Tribolium castaneum: one gene and its partner. The protein of the gene in region 2 purifies or fractionates together with the protein of the main gene of each other region. This does not show direct contact. Links are inferred from orthologs where the notes say so. Each region holds a gene or a part of one and is shown on either strand. Other genes may lie near its edges.

Region 1 (4,185 bases), on a different chromosome or scaffold from region 2:
CTAAAATGGGGACTCTCAACGCAAGGATATTTGAGAGTACGGTACTTCAAGAAAACTACTAACATCAACCTACCTTAAAGAATTATTTCGAAAACACTGCAAGTTTGCACTTTTGTAGCAATTAGTTCGATATCAAATAGTTTAAAAACGCGGTTTTAGTGTAAACAAAACGCAAAGTAAATAAGAAAAAACAATGATAAAAAATCGTGTCATGTTTGAATGGAGTACAAATAAAAACGTGATAGAATACGTTTCAAAGCATTTATGTTACAAAAAACGAACAATTAGCATAGTCTTACCTCAACTTATTCCAATAAATCTATTCTGTGGACGCTAAAACCATAAAAAACGTTGTTTTTGAAACAAAGAAAAACCAACACTGGTAGAGAACGCCAATTAGTTAGAAAAAAACTTGAGATACCTGAATTGCTGTTTGAAATATTGGCAAAAAACAATAATTTATTAATTTTGCGGCTCATTCCTGTCAACCTGTTTCTTGTCAAGCAATTAACAAGGTTGCCAACACGGAACGAAAATCTCTAGTTTCCACCCCCGATCTGTCTAAAAGTGAGGTTATACAAATTCAAACAAAAAATGAGTTTAAATTTTTTCACAAAGAGTAGAAACCTGTTACAAAATGCGACCACTCTCGCCAGGTTTTATAGCACAAAACCGGCCGAAGAAATTAAAAAAATGGTCAACAATAACAAAGTTGTGGTTTTTATGAAGGGGGTTCCCGAACAGCCCCGGTGTGGCTTTAGCAATGCGGTTGTGCAAATTTTACGAATGCATGGGGTGCAGTATGACGCCCATGATGTCCTGTCTGATGAGTCGCTACGGCAGGGGATTAAGGATTTTTCAAATTGGCCCACAATACCACAGGTTTTTATCAACGGCGAATTTGTGGGAGGCTGTGATATAATGCTGCAAATGCACCAGTCGGGGGATCTGATCGAGGAGTTGGAGAAGGTTGGCATCAAAAGTGCGCTTTTGTTGGCGAAGGAAAAGGAAGATGCAGAAAAGAAATCTTAAATTAAGTGGAAGACACGAATCTAGGGACTGATTGCTGTATATAATAATTAGAATGTTATTTAATTCGTTTTTGTGTAGTTCTGTTCATTAATAAAAAAGCTATTTAGAAAAAATTGATAATTCATTACATAACCTCAAATCAACACCCTTAACGTTTTTTCCCTATTTAATTAAGTTCATGCAGTTTTTACAACGTCTAGCATAAATTCTGATTAACGCGATAAAGTAGAAATTATCAATTGTGCCGACGATTGCATCATTTTTTATGGCTTTACCTGGCAAAAAGTGAGGTTAACTCGCCCATGTGTTATGTCAACGTGTTCGTTCAGTGATTTTTTAATTTAAACAAAAAAAGAAGCTAAAAATGGTAATTGTAACACACAGTAGATTAACAATCGTTTAATGATAATTCTATAGACTGCAGTTGAGCGAAAGGGCACGTTCAAGGTAGAATATCTACAAAAAATCGAGCGTGAGGTTCAGGACAGATGGAAGAAAGAGAAATTGCACGAAATCGACGCGCCCAAACAGCCCCGAAAATCAGAAGATGATAAGTTTTTGTGCACTTTCCCATTTCCATACATGAACGGCCGTTTACACCTTGGCCATACGTTCTCTCTATCAAAGGCTGAATTTTCCGTCAGGTATCACAAACTGAAGGGGAAAAATGCGTTGTTTCCCTTCGGTTTTCACTGCACCGGAATGCCGATTAAAGCATGTGCTGATAAATTAAAACGCGAGATGGAAATGTTCGGGTACCCCCCTAAATTCCCAGTCGAGGAAGAAATAAAAGTTGAGGAGAATGATGACGTTGTTATTAAAGATAAGAGTAAAGGAAAAAAGGTAAATCGTTGCTAATTCACGCCAAATAATTGACACTTTCTTAATTAGAGCAAAGCAGTGGCTAAAGCGGGCGCTGCCAAATACCAGTGGCAGATTATGTACAGTTTAGGGCTCCAGGACGAGGAAATAAAAAAATTTGCGGACGCTGATTACTGGCTGGATTATTTCCCGCCCCTTGCCGTCCAGGACTTGGACCGATTTGGGGTTTACGTCGACTGGAGACGCACCTTCATAACCACCGACGTGAACCCCTTTTTCGATTCCTTCGTCCGTTGGCAATACATTCGTTTGAAAGAACGCAACAAAATTAAATTCGGTAAACGTTACACGATTTATTCACCTCGCGATGGCCAGCCGTGTATGGACCATGATAGGTCCACCGGCGAAGGGGTGGGTCCCCAGGAGTATACTTTAATTAAAATGAAGTTATTACCTCCATATCCGGCGAAATTGAGGTACAACAACTCGTAAAAATAGAGAGTAGCTTTATTATGCTTTTTAATTTGCAGTAAACTCGCCAATAAACCGGTTTATCTAGTAGCGGCGACTTTAAGGCCCGAGACAATGTACGGACAGACTAATTGTTGGGTCAGGCCTGATATGAAATATGCCGCAGTTGCGGTCAAATCTGGCGAAATTTTTATTTGCACCGAGCGCTCAGCTCGGAATATGAGCTATCAAGGGTTTACGGAGGTTGATGGGAAATTTGAGATTGTTGCGCATTTGGTGGGACAGGTAACTTTCGATTTTTTAAATTTTTTCCTACAGTTTAGGTTTAATCTAATTTTTTTGTGAGTTCTCTAAGATCCTAATAGTAAATTAAGTAAAATGAAAAATTATTAAATGGAAAAAAGTTGGTGGTGAGTGTCAGCCATTTGTAATTTGTAAATTCATTGGCACTTCTTAGATATTTTTTGAAGAGTAAATATACACTCATTGAGTATACGAGACATATGGTGGTTTTTCTTTACTTAAATAAAGTGAAAATCACTAATACCGCTTACTTTCGTCCCAAAATGACATGAGATAAGTCAAAATTCCCCCTTTTAGGCATATATAACTGAATATTTCTGCCGTGCTAAGCAAGAACGTCGTAACTGACTTTTTTGTCAAATTTGAGATAACACAAAATCTGAGATCAATAGTGCAATAACTTTGATTCTAAATAACTTTAATAGATATTATCCAGAAATTAATAAGACGAAATACGTAAATAAAATTAACGTATGTGGGGTTTGTGCAATATTACTTAGCAAGAAAGTCGTAACTATAAAATGTATATGAAACCCACTCATTAATGAATCAAAAATTGTATATTTTCTAAAATTAATCAAAAACATTAGGTACCAAGTTTGGTTGATTACCAAGTCGAATTACAATTAAAAAAACAAAAAAAAGTGTATGACTTTGACGATTTTGTCAATTCGGTTGGAAGGACGGGTACAAGAACTAAAATTAAACAAATGAAAATTGAAAACTTTTTCAGATGGCAAGACTACAATTCACAGTACAAATTGATCAAAATTATTAATCGACCTTACCTAAGCGACATGGTTAACCTTACGTTTGAACGAGGAAAAAAAACCATGAAATATAAATGCAGTTTTGATAATGGCTTTATAGAGTTAAATTTTCTAACATCAATAACATCATATTCAAAAAACCCACTCAAAAACACACAACAAATGGCATAGATACAGAAAGAAAACAGGAACTCTTAAAAAAATTTAAAAATATTCTACCAGAAAACCGATTGATTTTTTGGCAAAATTTGCTTTTATTTCAAAAGTAGCGTACGCTAGGTGTAATTTCTTGGGTACATTTTTTTATAAATTTCCTGTTGTTATGTATTATTTCATTTGTTTAAAGCCGTTAATAAATATTTTTGTAGTTACGACTTTTTTACTTAGTTACTTTTACTTAATTAAAAAAATAAATAAAAATTTAACGTCGTATGTGGAATAACAGCGATTTGGCAAAATAATGGATATAATTGCATACATATTTCCTTTTTACAAATAAATTGTTAGGTTGACTTCAACATTCCATGTTACTAGCATTTAAAATAACAGTGCACTCTGAAAATGTAGAAAACAAGACATAACTCAAGATTCATATAAAATCAGTTATGACGTTTTTGCTTAGCACGGCAGATTTTGTTTTGGAACAGAAGCTTATCTGAACTATACTTAATTAAAAAAATAATAACTGATCTTAATCTCCTTCGTTTTTGAGCGTTTCTGAAATTGATTTCAGTCCTTTTGGCACAAACACACTTATTTTTACAACATAGAAGAACTAAAGGACGCT
Region 2 (4,315 bases):
GCCGAAATGAGAAAAACCAAAATTATCTCAACCCAAATTTTCGCTCAGTGTCGTGTCACGGCTCCTTTGAGTCGTTGCACAACGCCGGTGAAGACATCGCTTTTTATTGCCCATTCGCGCCGGGATGTACGTCCCTAATTAAAGGTTCGCATTTTCGTAATAATAAGCAGTTAGCTAAGTTTATGTCCACAGGAAAAAAAGTAATCGAGCACTTCCAGTTAAGCCACGACGGACCGTTAGTACACTATTTCAAATCGCAAATAACAATCGAGTTTAGCAAAATTTTGGAAGAGCAAGACTTGTGTTACGTTATCCAACTTCAGCAAAACACGTTTTTCCTCAAAATTGAGAACAGTTCCGAAAATGTACTTCTCTGGACTTGGGTTCTAGAAAACGGAAATGTTGCAAAAGAATTCGACATGCACGTCAAGGTGTTAATTGGGGAAACACACGACGTTATAATAAGTGTTAGAAATAACGTGTTTTCACTCAACTGCACTTCATACCAAGAGATAAAGGGGCTAAAAAAAGGTTTACTTGTTAATACTCGGGCCATAAATGGCGCGATAAATGATGTTATTTTTGATATAGCGATTTTAAAAAGTGACGTATGAGCTGTGATATTGTTTCTAATTTATAAATATTTATTTGGAGATATTGTTTGTTTGAATTCGTTAATAATAAAACGGTTTTTTCGACGCTGTTTTGCTTTTCTCTCCTTAAAACGCTCAATATTCCATCTATTAATCGAGATATGAACACTAGATCAGTAGACCAAATAACGGAGTTATGGTCTATTACAGTTACACCTATCATTTAGAAAAAATACGACGCTTGCTCATGGAAGGGACATGGGCGGATTTTTATATGCACCAGTTTTTATAACATGGGATTAGATGGGTGGAACAAAATTCGTTTCATGGGACATTCACGTAACAGCCACGTATTTCACAACCATTTACATATCACGCAGCTAATATTTATTGAATAATCTGCGTTAAAATATAAAAGTTATAATTAGAAAGGATCGGAATATTTAAAAGGCTCAAATTAGAGTGTGCGTTCTTTTGTAAAACCCCGCATTTTCAAGTTTATTCAAACGAATGAAGATAATAAACAAAGTAAAAGTTTATTTTATGTAAATTCTATTCCACTACATATTTATGCAAATCCAGGCCGAATTAATTAAATAACAAAATGTGAAATATGAACAAGCGGGACTGTACCACTTCGGGTGCGCACGTAACGCACTGTGAGTGGCACGAGACCATTCGAACAACTCGCCTCTTGCCTAGCTTACAATTTTTAATAATTGTTTTTAAACGAATCAATAAAATTTATTGAATTAATTTTTTGAAACATTCAAGTCAATGGCACAATAGCAAGTTTTGTTTTGTCACTTATTATTATAAAATTCCTGAAATATTTAAAATATTTCTCCTGGTGTTTTCGTTTTCCCCCAAGCCAGTTGGCAGTGAATTTCATCATCCGAAAAATTGAGGTTGTGTCGTTGCACGAGCATAATATGTGATATAATTTATTGAATTAGTGAAATAGCTCGCACCATGCCTATTCAAGAAATTCCCCGTGTGCCGGAAACCATAAATTTCCCATCCGAGGAAGAAAAAATCCTGAAATATTGGACGGAAATCGACGTGTTCCAAACATGCTTGAAACAGTCGAAGGGAAAGCCACGGTAACTTGGCATGGTTTCGAGTGAACGTGCCTTAGTTATTTTGTAGGTTTTCGTTCTATGACGGCCCGCCGTTTGCGACCGGGTTGCCCCATTATGGGCACATTCTGGCGGGGACCATCAAAGACGTGGTCACGCGTTATGCCCACCAGCAGGGCTTCCACGTGGAGAGGAGGTTCGGCTGGGACTGCCATGGGCTACCCGTGGAGTACGAGATTGACAAGACTTTTGATATTAAGGGCCCGGATGATGTAATGAAGATGGGCATTGACAAATACAACGCCGAGTGCCGCAAGATTGTCATGCGGTACGCCGACGAGTGGGAGAGGATCATTGGGCGCATTGGACGCTGGATTGGTAATCATTTGGACGAAAAGGCCAAACGTTTGATTGATAATTCCAGATTTTAAAAACGACTACAAGACGCTTTACCCGACTTTCATGGAGTCGGTTTGGTGGGTTTTCAAGCAATTGTACTTAAAGGGATTAGTTTATCAGGGCAATAAAGTAATGCCGTACTCGACGACGTGTAATACCCCCTTATCGAACTTCGAGTCGGGTCAGAATTACAAGGATGTTGTTGATCCCGCCGTCACCGTGAGCCTCCCGATCATCGGTCATAAGGACAATGCTGCGCTTTTAGTTTGGACAACGACTCCTTGGACCCTCCCTAGTAACCTAGCGGCGTGCGTAAACCCATCGCTTGAATACGTACTGTTTGAACAAATCAGCACCACCAAGCGCTACATCATGCTAGAGACTCGCATTGAAACAATTTTCCCAGCTGGGGATTATAAAATAATCCGGAAATTCCCCGGAAGCGAATTGAAGGGGCTGCGCTACGAACCAATTTTCCCCTACTTCGCCCACTTGAAAGACAAAGCTTTCCGGGTCTTGACAGACGACTACGTCACGTCTGAGTCGGGTACGGGTGTCGTGCACCAGGCACCGTACTTCGGGGAAGACGATTTCCGCGTCTGTCTCAACGCTGGGGTTATAACCAAGGACCAGGAACCCATCTGTCCCGTTGACGCCAGCGGCCGGTTCGTCAAACCTGTGGTGGAGTTCGAAGGGCTTTATGTCAAAGACGCCGACAAGAAAATCATCGCGGCTTTGAAAACCAACGGCCGGCTCGTGCACCAAACTCAAGTAATGTCCAAAGCGTTTGGAAGCACTAGCTAATTGTTGTTTCAGATCAAGCACAGTTACCCCTTCTGTTGGCGTTCCGACACCCCCTTGATCTACAAAGCGGTGCCGTCGTGGTTCGTCCGCGTGGAACACATGACCGAGGAGCTGCAAAAGGCCTGTGCGGACACCTACTGGGTGCCCGATTTCGTCAAAGACAAGCGTTTCGGTAACTGGCTGCGCGACGCCCGGGACTGGGCTATCAGTCGCAACCGGTATTTCGGCACCCCGATACCGATCTGGGCGTCGCCAAGCGGCAATGAGTTCGTCTGCGTTGGCAGTATCGCCGAACTCGAGCAACTAACGGGTCAGAAAATCACCGATTTGCATCGGGAAAGCATCGATCATCTTGAAATTCCCTCGAAAATTCCTGGAAATCCCCCGTTGAGACGCGTTCCTGAAGTTTTTGATTGTTGGTTCGAGTCGGGCTCTATGCCCTACGCCCAGAAACACTACCCGTTTGAGTTTAGTAAAGAGTTTGATGACTATTTCCCGGCGGATTTTATCGCCGAAGGGATCGACCAGACCAGGGGCTGGTTTTATACGCTTTTAGTCATCTCGACGGCTTTGTTCGGGAAAGCGCCGTACAAGAATTTGATCGCGAACGGGCTTGTGTTGGCCAGCGATGGGCAAAAGATGTCGAAGCGGAAAAAGAATTATCCGGACCCGTTGGAAATCGTTTCGAAGTATGGGGCGGACGCTTTGAGGCTTTATTTGATTAACTCGCCAGTGGTGCGTGCCGAAAACTTGCGGTTTAAGGAGGAAGGGGTTAGGGATATTCTTAAAGATGTGTTCCTGCCGTGGTACAATGCGTTCCGTTTCTTGTTACAAAATATTGAGAGTTTTGTACAAGACAACAATCAAGCGTTCTACTACACTGAAAATAGTGTCGCGCCTGAGAATATCATGGACAAGTGGATTCTTTCGTTCACTCAGTCGCTCCTAGAGTACGTCCGGAAGGAGATGCAACTTTACCACTTGTACAACGTTATTCCCAGGCTGACCAAGTTTATTGACTACTTAACCAATTGGTACGTGCGGATGAACCGGAAACGTCTCAAGGGTGAGGGCGGGTTCGACGATTGTAAAACAGCCCTACTGACGCTGTTCGAGGTTCTCCTAAACATTGTGAAAATGATGGCACCGTTCTCACCCTTCTTGGCCGAGACCATGTACCAATATTTGAAGAAGTTGATGAAGACTTCGGCCGATAGTGTTCACTATTTGATGTTACCGCAGCCGAATCATGCGTTGATCAACAAAGATATTGAGCGAGCCGTTGCCAGAATGCAAAGTGTGATAGAATTGGGGCGAGTCTTGCGCGACCGAAAAACAATACCGATCAAGTACCCGTTGCCGGAAGTTATAATTGTCCATCAGGACCCTCAGTACATTTCTGATATCCTCTCGTTGAAGGAATACATCCATCTCGAGTTA

The links.
Region 1: the proteins of IleRS (region 2) and LeuRS purify together in Homo sapiens (affinity purification with mass spectrometry; 7 studies listed by BioGRID and IntAct, counting the BioPlex papers as one, with this or other methods). This does not show direct contact. The link is inferred for Tribolium castaneum from reciprocal best matches to the Homo sapiens genes IARS1 and LARS1.

Annotation. Positions count from the first base shown.
Region 1 is NC_087402.1:9,359,326-9,363,510, forward strand, and holds the start of LeuRS (leucine--tRNA ligase, cytoplasmic), read left to right. Parts: upstream 1-1,276; 5' UTR 1,277-1,396; coding exon 1,397-1,399; intron 1,400-1,449; coding exon 1,450-1,875; intron 1,876-1,923; coding exon 1,924-2,330; intron 2,331-2,384; coding exon 2,385-2,610; intron 2,611-4,185. Other genes in the region: Grx5 (glutaredoxin-related protein 5, mitochondrial), read left to right, coding at 595-1,032. UniProt on the Homo sapiens protein: Aminoacyl-tRNA synthetase that catalyzes the specific attachment of leucine to its cognate tRNA (tRNA(Leu)).
Region 2 is NC_087403.1:5,649,528-5,653,842, forward strand, and holds the start of IleRS (isoleucine--tRNA ligase, cytoplasmic), read left to right. Parts: upstream 1-1,447; 5' UTR 1,448-1,565; coding exon 1,566-1,696; intron 1,697-1,742; coding exon 1,743-2,050; intron 2,051-2,096; coding exon 2,097-2,842; intron 2,843-2,887; coding exon 2,888-4,315. Other genes in the region: uncharacterized protein LOC662426, read left to right, coding at 1-144, 193-614. UniProt on the Homo sapiens protein: Catalyzes the specific attachment of an amino acid to its cognate tRNA in a 2 step reaction: the amino acid (AA) is first activated by ATP to form AA-AMP and then transferred to the acceptor end of the tRNA.